2 linked regions of the Alligator mississippiensis genome follow. The protein of the gene in region 1 purifies or fractionates together with the protein of each later gene. This does not show direct contact. Links are inferred from orthologs where the notes say so. Each region holds a gene or a part of one and is shown on either strand. Other genes may lie near its edges.

What was found. The genes of interacting proteins can lie anywhere in the genome.
Region 2: the proteins of torsin-1A (region 1) and CANX purify together in Homo sapiens (affinity purification with mass spectrometry; 4 studies listed by BioGRID and IntAct, counting the BioPlex papers as one, with this or other methods). This does not show direct contact. The link is inferred for Alligator mississippiensis from reciprocal best matches to the Homo sapiens genes TOR1A and CANX.

Annotation. Positions count from the first base shown.
Region 1 is NC_081835.1:58,706,758-58,714,494, forward strand, and holds the start of torsin-1A, read right to left. Parts: upstream 3,002-7,737; 5' UTR 2,980-3,001; coding exon 2,772-2,979; intron 2,490-2,771; coding exon 2,224-2,489; intron 257-2,223; coding exon 81-256; intron 1-80. Other genes in the region: torsin-1A, read right to left, coding at 5,254-5,492. UniProt on the Homo sapiens protein: Protein with chaperone functions important for the control of protein folding, processing, stability and localization as well as for the reduction of misfolded protein aggregates.
Region 2 is NC_081832.1:74,511,742-74,518,600, reverse strand, and holds the start of CANX (calnexin), read right to left. Parts: upstream 3,017-6,859; 5' UTR 2,920-3,016; intron 2,477-2,919; exon of another isoform or gene 2,302-2,476; intron 1-2,301. UniProt on the Homo sapiens protein: Calcium-binding protein that interacts with newly synthesized monoglucosylated glycoproteins in the endoplasmic reticulum. It may act in assisting protein assembly and/or in the retention within the ER of unassembled protein subunits.

The DNA.
Region 1 (7,737 bases):
GAGAAAAAGTTTATGAGCTGGATGCTATTTCATAGGGCCCTCAGTCTTAGCACTGTAAGCAATTCAAGGCCATTCCTTACCTGAGAAAGATGAAGATGGCTTGCCGATAAGACACCCCATCAAGTTGCTCGTAATAATCTAAGAATGGTTTAATGGAGTCTATGAGTCCTGCGTGCATTTTATCCATTTCATCAAATATAAAAATTGACCTGGCGCAGTCACTCACATTCCCCCGAATCCAGGACTGCAGGTCATCCTATGGTACACAAAGATACAAGGATGTAAGCTCCATGTGCACAAGATCATACTGAACACACAGAGCACGCGATGACTTTAGATCCCTGTCTTTTGTATAAAAGATCTAACATAAAATTGTCATCCAACATAGCTTGGACTTCTTCACTGAAATCTGCATCAGAGCAATAAATAATGATGAAATAATACCGCAAGAGATTTACCTAAGGGTTCTTCAAATAACCTTAAGAACTCAAAAAATGAGATGCCAGAAATAATCTGCTCTTAGGAAAAGACTTTGTGCAAGCATCAGCAGAGGACAGAACTGTACTTTAGCCAAAACAATGACAATGAATAAGAAACAGAGATCTAACAGGACCAAGTGATGCCGTATATGGCATGCTACTTTCTTTGGATGATGCTTTGCATTTACATAGCACACTTCATCCTTTGACCTCAAAGTACCATACATCCACTTACTAGCTCAAATGCAGTCAACAAGAAGCTCTGTTCCTAGCTGTGCCGGTGACTGACTGTACAGCCTTAGATGGGAACAAAATCTAGAATTCATGATGTCTGGTTTTATCCTTTAACCACTAGCACATAATCTAATTGGAGGGAATTTAAAACATTTGAAAATGTGTGATTTTGTTCAGAAAAGTGGATAACCTTACTCAAGTGTTTTCTTACATCATATAAGAACACTTATGTTGTCTCACCACCTTCCACCCAGTCAAACACCTGCAGGTGGCTGCTCATTGCACCAGGTGGGCGGAGCGCATGAAAGGTAGCTGGAAGCTGGAGCCCCAAGCACTAGGGCAGAGCCACCTGGCTGCAGCTTCCCCCACCAACCCCCTGCCTGGCTGGGCACATGGTGCCAGGCTCACGTCCTCACAGCTGTCATCACTGCCCTGCACTACCTGCTGCCCAGAGTGGCACAGCCAGGGAAGCAGGAGGACGACGTGCTGAGCAGTACCCAGGCAGCTGCAGCAGCAGCAGTCCCTCCAGGAAGCTGTGCATGCTGGACAGGGCTGGGACTGTCAGCAGGTGCAGGCAGGACTCAGATCCCAAGCAGAGCAATGCAGAGACAGCCACAGGCCATATACAGTCAATTGGTAGGGGCCCACCTCTGGGCTAGATCCAAACAGCTGATGGGCCAAATCTGGCTCACAGATCCATATTTTGGCTCACAGGCCATATTTTGCCCACCCCGTGTCTATGTGTTCAGGACATAATATAAATATTCGCCAACTACTGAACAGGTGGAAAAGCATCAACCACAATTCACAGGAAGAAAGGAGGGTGAATTGTCCAAAACAGTCAGTGGCAAAGTCAGAACAAGAACTCAGAGAAATGCCATTTCTTGCGCACAGTCTCCGTCTCAGGTAGTTTTATGACCCTATTACTAGTTCATCTGAGCATTTCATGATCTTTGTATAACTGGGCCTCAACACTCCTTGTGAGGTACTACCACTACTTTACAGTTGGGAATTAAACCCGTCTCCCAACTTCCTGGCTTTGGTCACCACAGCTGTTTCAATCTATCTTAAGGTTTTCTATAGCACCCATCAGCATTATATCCAAGTGTGATACCCAATTGTATCCAGAATCCCTGTTATCATCAAGTCAACCAGACTGTTGGACCAAAATATACAACAAGGAAAATGAAAGGTCTCATACTCTCCCCCTCAAGAGGGATGTAAAAAGGTGCATAAACACCGTCTTCTACACCAGCGGTTCCCAAACTCTGAGAGATCGCACACCACCGATTTAAAACAATACAACCTTAAGTACCACCAGCAAATTTGTCGTATAAAGTAACTATAACAAAGCTGTTAGCACGTACCACTGACAGGTGGTCTGTGTGCCACTGGTGATACACGTACCACGGATTGGGAATTGCTGGTTCGACACGCTTCAGAAAGCGACAGAAGGGCTGTCCCTCACAATCGACCCTCAAGCGTGACCAGCTCCACAACGTGCCCTTACCGTATATTGCCTGATAAGACTCGCGTGTGGAAAATGCAGAGTGGACACAAACTGATGGACGTATTTGCTGTTCAAGCCCGACTTGTAAATGTTCTCGACAATGATTTTACTGGCGTAGTTCTTGCCTGTGCCCGTCCAGCCATGCAACGAGAGGGCGAGAGGCTTTTTGGGGTTCGCATTGCTCAGGAAGCCGGCGATGGCTTTGACAATCACCTTCTGCGCGAGGTGCTGGCCGAACAGCCTCTTCTCCAAATCCTGCTGCAGGGCTGCGGCGAACGCGCCAGCCGCGGCACGCAAAAAAGGGAGACGGCAGGTTTAAAGTCAGAACTTGGGAAGCGAGAGAGGACACCCGCTTCTTCACCCCTTCGAGGCGAGGGCTGGGCTGGGCCGGAAGAGAAGCGACTGCCCTCCCTAATGCAGGCCCCAGCTCCCCTCAGGGGCGCCCCAACCCCTCTCACAGGGCAGCCCCCCCAGAACAGGACACCTTCCCACCACAGCCCAGCCCGTCACGGGGCAGCCCCCTCCCTTCACAGGGCAGGGCCCCTCACCTGGCCCGAAGTGCCGGCCCAGGCGCGGCCCGCAGCACTCGGCGAAGAGGCAGTAGAGGGGCCGGTAGGAGATGTAGCCCGTGATCGCCGAGGCGGCCCCGGCCAGCGCTAGCCCCAGGCTGACGGGCTCCACGGCGCGCGCGGGGCTCAGCAGCAGCAGCAGCACCAGGCCCAGGGCGGCGCCCGCCGCGCCCCGCAGCCGCCTCATCCCCGGGCTCGCCGGGCCCCGGCCCCGAGCCCCTCACCGGCGCTTCCGCTTCCGCCGCTTCCGGCGCCGCCATTTTGGTTTGGGGCAGGGCGCGCGCGCGGCCATTTTGGAACGGGCGGGGCGGTCACGTGACCCCCGCACCCTCCTGCACGTGCAGTCGTTGTGCCTGCACACACACCACCCCTGCACAGGGAGCCAGGCACGACCCAACCCGTGTTATCTCAAGGCAGCGCACCAGAAATAAGGCCAGTAGTTGGGAATACCCCCCCCACCCCCCGCAATAAGTCCAAGCAAACAAAATGCAGGGTGCAGAGGTGACTCCCCGCAGCCACAGAGAAGCGGCAGCCAGCACAGCCGCGTTGTGGCCGGTCCCGTCGTTCGTTCGAGCCGGCTCCGAGAACAACCGGATCGAAGCTCGCGAGTTACCCGCCTCCAACGAGAACACACTGGAAAAGCACAAGTCTCGCTGCTCCGTTTTCTTCCTCCAAAATACACTTCTTCTGCAAAACTAATTTGGGTCCAATTTAAAAATCCGTGCAGTCTTAGGCTCTCAACAGTTATTTTCAGCGATGAGAAAAAAGCGGGGTCCATCTCCAGCACCAACCCCCTGAGTATCCCTGAAACCAGAGATTCGTATCCAGGCACAATTATGTTTCGAGCAGAAAGCAGCAAAAGTAAGCTGTCCTTATTAGGCAGGAAACTTGCCTAGAATGAAGCATTAAGTCAGTCCACGATGCATATCCACACATACTGGAAAGGTAGCCGATAAGCATTTTTTGATTAAAAACTTTTATTGACAAAATACAAATCTTATTTAGAAATCAGAGTAAAAAATGTCAGTAGTGTTTCGACGTATAAATATGACTGGCACATATAATAACTTTAGCTGAATCCTTACAGTACATAATTCTTTTTCAAGGTAGTGTTTTATCTTCATCTGTTCCTTAATAGCTCTGCCTCATGTTTGGGGGGAAAAGCAAGGATAGATCACAAACATACTAAACAGGATCGATTTATAAAAGTTGGTGAGTAAAGCAAACTGTCCCTTATGCCAACCACACAATAAAGAAGACTTAAGATGTGCGGTCAGTTCCCAGTGCCTGTGACTGAAACCAACTATCTGAACAAGAAGCCTCAATGGATTTTACCCAACAACCTTTTACATTGATCCCACAAGGCAGGAGAAACACCAGCATGAGAACAAACTGCGTATCCAACTTCACATATCAAAAAGCTAAAAGTACAGGCTACCTCCTCCATTGCAGGGACACTGTCACGGATTTTGCTTTAGGGTATGGTTTTTTTCTCAGCATTGTTGAAAAATACTCCCCTAGCAAGCTGGATGCCTCACACTGCTAACGCTGTTTGGCACCAAAGGATTTGCTCATAATGGCACTGCATAAAACCAGGTGATAAGGACCGGACGTCTTATACCAGGTTCTCTCACCTATTGGTTCCAACAGAGCTGAATGCACCAAAAATGTTTGTAGTCTAAGGAAACTGCCCCCCCCCTCCCCCCCCAATGTATTCACCATTCAAAGCAGGTCTGATGATATTCCCAACTACAACACCGAGGAAGGGTCCTGAAGACATAAGAGTTCTGTTTAAAAAGTGCCATACAATACCGAGATCATTTCCACATCAAATAACAACGTGGTGAAAACTGGCATAGCACGTGTACCAGGGTTCTACTGCACAACTAACAATCAACACCCGGTCTGAGAATAATCACGTTAAACAATGATCCATAAGGGGCAACTTCTCCATAGACACGTCTTTCCTAACTGAACAGCACAGGCCTGAAGTCTAAGGCTCTGCAGTCACTCAGTGGCACAGAGCCAGGAACAGAGCTTATTGTTGACTACATTTGAGCTAATAAATGAATGTATGGCAAACTGAAGACAAAGGAAGAAGTGTGCTCCCTAAATGCAAGGTGTTACCCAAAGGAAGTAATGTATAGTATAAGGCATTACATGGTCGTAATAGAGCTCTGTTTCTTATTAATTCTTATTTAAAGTACAATTCTTCCCTCTTTGTGGATTCTTGCACAAAGTCTTTTTAGGAGCTGTAGCTACTGAAAGTTTCCCCTGGATAAAAATGAAAGTGATTGCCACTTATTTAAATCAGACAGACAATTAAAAATGGTATTGCTCTCTTTTCTAAAAAAAAAAAAGAAAAAGTGCTTGAAAAATAATAAAAAGTTTTGGTTTTCCCCGAGCTTCTTAAGTTCATTTGCTGCTTTGCAGATTGCAGCATCATAAAACATTACTATTCCTAATCAAAATCAGCGTTGGGTATAGTTTTGCATCCTTTTCGAGAATACAATTTTTCCTCCTCGGGGAAGTAGGTCATTTCATCAGCTACTCTGCTTACAATGTCTTCATCCACAGGGTAACCACGTGTTTCCATTTCCACCCTGACACACATTTTCACATGTTCATACTCCAGAGGTAGGAAGGGGACAAAGAAATCAATGAGGTTTCTGTCTATCAGGCTGCTGTGCCAAAAGCCACCTGCAAAAAAAATAGAAGAAAGCACAAGCTTAGATACCTGAGGCATCTACCTCATTTGTAAAGAGGAAGAAAGCTGGGACATAACATTTCACTAAGCAGAGCTAGTCATCATGTTGTGAAGGTGCAGAGCAAATGTTACTGAGGGTGCAGGAACAAACCATCCCAATGCGCAGGAAGACTAGCAAGAATGGCAGAACAGCTTGGCTTAGCAGGGAATTCCAGTGAGCTAAAACACAAAAAGAAAGCTTACAAAAAGTGGAAACTTGGACAAATAACTATGGAGGAGCATAAAAGCATTGCTCAGGCATGCAGGGATGAAATCAGGAAGGCCAAAGCACAACTGGAGTTGCATCTAGCAAGGGACGTGAAGGATAAAAAGAAGGGGTTTGACAAGTATGTCAGCAACAAGAGGAAGATCAGGGAAAGTATGGGTTCATTACTAAATGGGGGAGGCAACTTAATGACAGAGGGTGTAGAAATGGCTGGAGCGCTCAATCCTTTTTCACCTTAGTCTTCACAGGCAGGTTCAGCTCCCAGACTACTGTACCTGGCAGCACAGTTTGAGGAGAAGATGAGCAGCCAACAATGGCAAAAGAACAGGTTAGGGACTATTTAGAAAAGCTGGATGTGTACAAGTCCATGGGGCTACACAGGGCACACCCAATGGTCCTGAGGAAGGGTGATTGCAGGGTCACTGGCCATTATCTTTGAAAACTCCTGTTGATTGGGGAAGGTCCCAGACAATTGGAAAAGAGCAAATATAGTGCCCATCTTTAAGAAAAGGAAGAAGGAAGATCCAGGGAAGTAGAGACCCATCTGTCTCACCTCAATCCCTAGAAAAATCATGGAGCAGATCTGCAAGTAATCCATTTCTAAGCACTTGGAAGAGAAGGTGATTAGGAACAGTCAGCATGGATTTACGAAGGGCAAGTCATGCCTGACCAACCTGATTGCCGTCTATAATGAGATGACTAGCTCTATGGATGCAGGGAGAGCAGTGGGCACGATATACCTTGACTTTAGCAAGGCATTTGATACGGTCTCCCACAATATTCTCTCAAGCAAATTAAGAAAGCACAGGTTGGATGAATGGACTGTAAGGCAGATAGAAAATTGGCTGGATTATTGAGCTCAGAGGGTAGCAATCAATAGCTCAAAGTTTAGTTGACAGCCGACATCAAGTGGAGTGCCCCAGGGGTCGGTCCTGGGGCCAGTTTTGTTCAATATCTGCATCAGTGACCTGGAAGATGGGATGGAGTGCACCCTCAGCAAGTTCATGGATGACACCAAGCTGGGGGGAGTAGTAGATACACTGGAAGGTAGGGCTAAGATTCAGAGACACCTCAACAAATTGGAGGTTTGGACCAAACGAAATCTCTTGAGATTCAATAAGGACAAGGATTGTTCCTGCACCCATAATGGAACAATCCCATGCACCAGTATGGGCTGGGACTGATTGGCTAAGCAGCAGCTCTGCAGAAAAGGACCTGGGGGTTACAGTGGATGTGGCAGAGCACCAGTGGGGTGCTCGCCACTTTAGGGCTGTCACAGGCTCTGGGGGAGCCTGTTTTGGGGAGCAGCAGGGAAAAGCCTTCCCTGTTAAACATTGTAAGGGCTCTGCCACCTTAAGACCTGGATCAGACAGCAGGCAGGTGCAGCCCAGCCCTGATGAGCAGCCTTTTAAGTACCACGCCAGCAGGGCTGGGGGCAGTACTCTGCTGTCAGATATGGAGGAAGTGATGTCTCCTGGAAGAGCTGCTGCTCTGAGAACAGCTTGGAGGTAAGGGTGAGGCTATGGGGAAGAAGGAGGCCTTAGTGGTCCTGGGCATGACCTAAAACCGCACCCTCCTGAGCTAGGGAGGCTTGGTGGTCCTGCCTGTGGCAGGGCAGGGCCAGCAAATTCCAGGATCAAGGACCTCCCTGGTGTATGGTGGGTTGGGGCACCTAAAGCCCTGCCCCTCCACCACTCGGTGGATCACAGTGATAACATCAGAGAGTAGTGGGGCCAGGGACATCCATAGGGGACACCTGTGCTCATTGGGATGCAAGATCCTGAAGGGGAGTAGTGGAGGCCAGGTTTGCTTTGAGAAGCACCTGAGCCTGAAGGGATGGAAGACCCTGTAAGAAGAGCAGTTCAGTCCCTGAGAGAGGGGGCAAGCTGTGGGCCAGGCACATCGATGAGTGGCACCTGAGTCCACGGGGGGTGTTCGACCCCAGGGCACAGGGCAGAGTAGATGCCTCAGTG
Region 2 (6,859 bases), on another chromosome or scaffold:
TATCAAGCCATAGATTCTTCCGGGCAAGGAACATACTGTAATTATGCAATGCTGTACAATCACTTATAACCTAAAGCAATTAAAGCCATAGAATTTACCATAATCCACTAACTGTTTGGTTGCCATTTGTTGGTAGTGCTTTGTTAAAGCATACTTGCCTATTTAGTAAAGCATTTATTCTAAATAACCAATTCGGAAGAGCAGGAGAGCCTAATCCAAATGAAGGTTTGGACTACAGCCACTGTATTACAAAATGTGTGGGCAGAGGATACTGACCAGTGTTTGAGGGGGAAAGATTATGTCACAGTTCCAATATCAGGCCGTGACTGTGGAAACCTGTGTTCATACAGTTAAGTGGACTATTTGCATGACGTGCACCAAGACAGTCTTCCAAGTTCTTCCATTTGGAAATTAAGATAACATTACCTTTCACTAACGCTTTGCCTAAACCAGGGGTGTCAAATCAAGCAGTTCTGAGGGCCATACAAGAAGCCAGCCAGGCTACAAGCAAGCCACTGGAAGTTTTGGGGGAGATGGTTGGGGATAGAGTGTCCTGCTGCAGGCAGGGCCAAGGGCCCCTATAGACATGGCAATCAGTGGCAGAAGGGCTTTGCCCATTGCCACTGATTCAGCCCTACTGGCTCAGCCGGCCCTGCCACTGCCCCATGCTCAAGCCACTGCATGTCTCGTACCAGAACCAGAGTTGCCCCCATAGCACAATGTAGCAGCACAAGCAGCAGCTCCAGCACGTGACAGCAGTCAGAGCTGCACTGCATACCCTGGGTTGGGGGGCAGAGCCGTCACTGTTGCTGCATGCTATGGGATAGCTATGGCCTGTCTGGCCCAGGACACAAGAGGAGTTGGACACCTCTGGTCTAAACAGACTGTCACAGTATGTTTGTGGACAACTAGAAAGATGGGTCCTACCCTTCAGCCAGGGTTCCTAAAGACTACTCAACACACCCTCAAGCCAACTGATTTTGTACAAAGGACACAAAGTCATACACTTCACTTCAGGGAAAGAAACAAACAAAACAAAACCAACAGTAAAGGCAGCTGTGAGGAACAGCAATGATCCGGAAGTGTTAAAGCATAATCACTATTTACTTACATCCCTTCTGTACTTGAATTATCGTATTATGGACAGACAGTAAATATATCCACCGATACAGCCCCTGCTTCCACCAGTTTTGAACAAAATTTTCCAGTCCTAGAATGGCAACTTCTAATATAGTTAAATCTTTAAGTTTCAATTTCAACCACGAGCCAAGGCACCTTTCCTAGAAGAGGCTATAGCAGACAGGGGGGCTAATCAATACCACGTCATTTAGAGATACTACATTTCCATGAACTTCACAGAAACTTCTTTAGTTATCTACAGCTGTGCCCAGGAAATTCAACCAGCACCCCCACAGGGCCAACTCTTTATGATGTTTGCTATAACAGGCTCAGACAATCAAGAGATTAGTTATAATAATATACAACACCCAAGCAAAAACCTGCTTTTAGTAACAGTCTTCAAACATGTCAGCTTCTAAAAATAAGCTGCATCAATATAGGCACGGCGAAGGAAAATTCTGCGCTGTTTGTCAGCAAAGAGGTCATTCATGCAGAACTGGAAGTCCTTGGAGAACAGACAACACTGCAGGCTTTTTGATGGTTAACACACAGGAACTGCTAAGGCAACACAAAAAAAACTCCTTTCAACCCCCGCAAGATTTTTTTTTTTTTTTTTTTTTTTTTTACAAGGTGAAGAGATTATTTAGAAAGCTTGACATCTCATCTAGAAACAAAGTCTAATTTGTCCTGTACTCCAAAGCAATAAAAACCTTTACAAAGAACAGGGTTGGTTTAAGCATCAAGCTTAAATAGGTAAAAACAGGCATTTAACAGGAGGAAGAAGTGAGGTATGAAAAATAAATAAATAAATAAATAAATAAATAAAAGTTAAGTTGCCCATCCTGCCAAGATGGCTGTGTTTCACTCAACCCTTAAGGAGCCAAATCATTTTTAAATAGAAGTGAGACCTGTCTAATGAAAGGGCTTCCAAAAAAAGATGATTTTTCTACTTCTGCTATTAAAATTTGACCACTTCCTTTTACCAGTTTGCATTGGTTTTCCCCTATCCAGGATGAATAGAGACTCATCAGTCTCACTGGCTATATTCCAGACCCTCCAGCAGTGAACGGGATTTGGATACCAACGTTTCCACGAGAAGCTCTGCAGAAAACGACTGAGGGATGGTTTTGTTTTAAAAGAACCTTAAAAAAAAAAAATAACACAGAAGAGGGATTTACGCACAAGACACGTGTCTTGAATTCATAACCCGTCAGGCCAGGAAGATCACTGGGTGCAGCCCCCTGCACCGAGCAGGCGAGACAGCTGGGCCCCAAACTGTGATGATAATAACTGCTCTGGCTAAACCTGAGTGGCCTCGTGGCTGGACTCCAGCAGCTCAGCGCAGCCTCGGGCAGACACACGATTTTGCAAGTCAGGTTTATTACATCGGGCTGAATAATAATAATAGAAATAATAATGATGATAATACAAAAAATATTTTAAATTTCCTCAGCTCTACAGCAGACGTAAGAAGCAGCCTCCCCCCGACGCGAGCACCATCATCCAAGCGGGAAAAAAGCCCGTTTGGCGCGAGCTCATCGCACCCCTGCTCGAGAAAGGTGGGGAATAAACCGGCACAATCGGGGAAAGTCTTTTTCTTTCTCCTCCAGGCGGGGACGGAGCGCGCGCACGTGCCAGGCAGCGCCCAGGAGGGCACCGGCCGCCCAGAGCGGCCCGAGTAGGCCGAGCCCCTGAAGGGACCGGTGCTGGACCCTTCCCGCCCGCCCCGTGGGGGTCCCAGCCCCGCAGGCTGCGCCCGGCGGCCCCGGGGGGAGGTGAAGGAGGGGGACACGCACTCACCTCACGGCTCGCGCCCCCCAAGCAGCAGCGACCGCCGCCACCGCCCCCGTCACGTGCCGCGCTCCGGGCCGCCGCCCGCCTATCTAGCGCGAACTGGCTCCGCCCCCCGCTCTGCGCTTCCGCTCCCCCATTGGCCGACCCGGCCGCCGGCTTCCCGCCCCGGGGCTTTCCTCCGGGCACTATTGGCTCGCGATGCCGTCGCTCGTCGCTTCTCCCGCCTCCCCCGCCTCCCGCCCAGCGGTGCCCTTCGTGGAGCGCCTGGATTGGCGCTCCGCCGGGAGGAAGTGGGCCGCGATTGGCTCGGCGTCGGGCAGGGGGGTGGGGCCGGAGAGGAGGAGAAGAACGGAGTGCTGCTGCAGGGTTTGGCGGGCTCTTAAAGGGGCAGCGTCTCGGAAAGGCGTCTCGCGAGCTTCCTCGTGGCGGCACGGCTGGCTCGATAGGGGAGGCTGGAGAAAAAGCCGCCCCACGCGTCTGCCATGAGAGGGCCACCTCCTGTCCGGAGAAAGCGGGTCCTAATGCCAAATAGGAAAATTGGGCATCCTGTGCAAGGCAGTGTAAATATCAAGTTGTCCACACCACAAAAACCTCATGAGATTAAAAATTATAAATATGCAAATAAGGATTGTTTGGAGATTCAAATGACAGAGATTGGACTGGGTAAATTATGAGCGGGGAGCAGGGGCCCTGGTAAATAAAGTTAATTTTAGGGCAAGAATGTATAAATACGCAAGGACCAAAACAGTACGGCAGGTCTATGACATAGACCAAACATAATCTAGGTATGCTTTATTTCTTATTAGATAATAAAGTGATGAAAGTTAATTTGTATAGATTATTTGTCTGTCTAGTTAACAGTCAATCTATCTACATGCACACAAATATGTGTGTGTGTGCGTGTGTACACACATCTGTATATATATGCATATATATGTAATATGGAGATATATATATGCATGTGTGTATACATATCTATATACGTATATATGTATACACACATATGTGTACATATCCATATATATACACATATATGTGTGTGTATACACACATACATCCATACAGCCACTAAGCCAGTGTCCATCTCCAGATTGTTTGAACATTAATGAGTGTTATATTTACATATATAAACATTTTATTTATAATACAGGTAAGGTATAAGAATTGTTTTATATTATTTATTTTGTAAATATATAATACCTCTAATCTTGTGCAATTCAAGTCTGTTACTCGACTGTTGGAGTTTTGCTTCTATATTTGCTTGCATAAAAAAAAAAGTTAAAAACAAATAATAAATATTATGCTCTGTTTATTTATTTACCTTCTGATTTTTGAGCTTCTTGATCATGTTTAGGATGTTTCAAGCTCTTCTCTGCACTATATCGGCTAGATTGTTACAGGAAAAATTAAATTCCAAACTAATCACTTGAGATTTTAGGAAACCCACGAGTGTTAGCAATACTGGCCTGTGTATGTTGCACTTGCTGCACGCCATTTAGCCATTTAGGATTTCACTGCCCCAGCAGCGAGAGAGAATTCCCACCCTCCTGCCCTACAAACATAAAGTCTGAGGAAAATGTTCGTTAGCCGTCTGTGCGGTCTGACACGCATCTGAACAGTTCTGATTCTCTCCAGTAGAGGATAGCGATGAACATTCACATCAGCCAAATAATGATGACAATCTCTGGTGTAAAGCAACCCCTTTCACTTATCGATTAGATCAGTTTTGTTATATACCCCGTAATAGAAAAAGCTGTAAGCAGTGTGTTGTTTTCTGTCATTCATAACATTCTTTGATGCCTTGCAGATGTAAAATGCTTTATGTATGCCAGGTATATTGCAAACTTATTCTCATAACAGCCCTGTAAAGTAGGGAAGCAATGTCCCCGTTGTACAGATTGGGAAACTGAGGCACAGAGAGAGTAAACGTTTTGTAAAAGATGATACAAGTTATTAGTAGCATTGCTATAATGTAAAACAAGGACAGCATGAGCCAGAGATTAATAGGAATCTCAGATGGGAAAACCAAGCTCCTATCATTTATTCCTCTGAGCAGACACCGCCTTTGGTCTGTGCTGCTATGGCTATACCGCTGGCTAGCAGACCCAGCTCTAGATAAGTGACCGTGGAGATACCTGGTTCATTGGTCACCTCTCTTGGTTACAGTACAGTAACGTAGTTAGTAGCTCATCCCAACAGAGAGTGAGTGTCCTATCAACTGGATCTGACCTTGTAGCCTGTGGGGTAACAGGATTCTTTTTTAAACATGAATCTGCTTTGAGTGAGCACTATGAGTCAGCAAAATGCATCTCACCAGGGAGAAAATTCCACCACCCTAGGACAATGTGAGCCTGGGCCTGGTATTTAGAGTTAAGGCTCAGCATAAATGAGATCAGCAAATCTATCAACATTGAAGTCTGAATTCATGTTTTCCTTTTTTTTTTATTTCTAGAAAGGCACCAAGCTGATTCAAGCCTCGCTGGAGACAGGCCCGAACAGAGGCTAAACACAAGCTGCAGACAAGTGAGAAGAACAAGAGCAGCAAACTAGTCTCAGAAATACGATGCAGAGGGGCTTTTACCAAGGTTAAAAGCATGCAGCTCAATACTTCAATATGACAAGATGCAAACTGATGAAGTCCCTCTTCAGCCCAGGCAAAATCTGTTAGAACAGCGAGGCCGTGGAATAGACTGTCTGGGGAAGCTGCGGAGCCTCCTTCATCGGAGGCTTTCAAGAAGAGATTGGATAAGCATTGGTCAGGGATGTCCTAGGGGTAGCAATGCTTGCAGTGTGCATTGAAGAACGACGGCTGGAAGCCCAGGAGATCCACACGTACATCTCATTTGAGGCTCATGTGAAGAGCTCTGGAATCCAGAGTGGAATGTGAAGAATGAAGCGGAGCTCCACAACCAGCTCATGTATAAATCAGGGTTGAAAAGCTGGGACAAGTTTATAGGAGGGATAGGATGACAGAAAGAGGGGTTCTGGCTCTGTAGTTAGAGCGCGCGATGGATGGGTGTAGTTGTGCTTGTGATTCAATGGAGGGTGCTTGGTTTTCCCACATTTCTGAACTTTGCTAGTTGCCATATGAGGGATGGGAAGGAAGATTTTTCCCTCCAGCAGCTGCAAACGTCTGGGGTCCTGATGGGACTTAAACCCAGAGGTTCCTGACTAAAGGGTCTTGCTCCTCTGCTCAGTACCAGACCAATCACCATATTTAGGATTAGGAAGGAATTTTGCCCCATGGTCTGATCAGCAAGAACTATGGGGGAAGGCAGGGTATAACCTTCCTCTGGAGCAGGAAGCATGCTTCTCTTCTGTGGATCTCTCAAGTATACTTAACAAAGGACTGCACAGTACCCCCATCTCCCTGCTTTACCTGAGGTCAGCTAAAGTGTCCTTGATGTTTCTGGGCACAGTACCTGATACCTGGGCAAGAGGGTTGTACATACAATTTTGTGTGGACTAGTCTGGAAGGGTACTTGTCTGGGGTAGTTTGGATAGGGATAATCCTGTCTTGAGCAGAGGGTTGGACTAGATAACCTCTGGAGGTCCCTTTAAACCCTATGTTTCTATCATTTTATGATTGTATGCAATCCATGAATTTCAGGCCTTTCCCTGAGTTTGTAACTCAGCCAAAAAAACCCAACCTTGCTAAGTAACAAGACAGAAAACCAGTCCCCTGGGCAAAGCAGGCGACTGGAGCCCAGAGACCTACAAACCCCCCTCCCAACACACAACTGCTTTCCCTCTGCCTCTCTCTACTGCTTCTTGCTTGCCCATGATGGACTGTTATTCTTCTTGTCCCCTACAGAGTTATGTGGCAGGAAGACAGCTCTTAGCCTTTCCTTGGCTGTTTCACCCTGTTGAAGGGGAGACGGAGCAGCCAGTGAAACCACAGGAGAAAAATTCCAATTTTTATGCAGCCAGCCAAGCCTTGATTTTG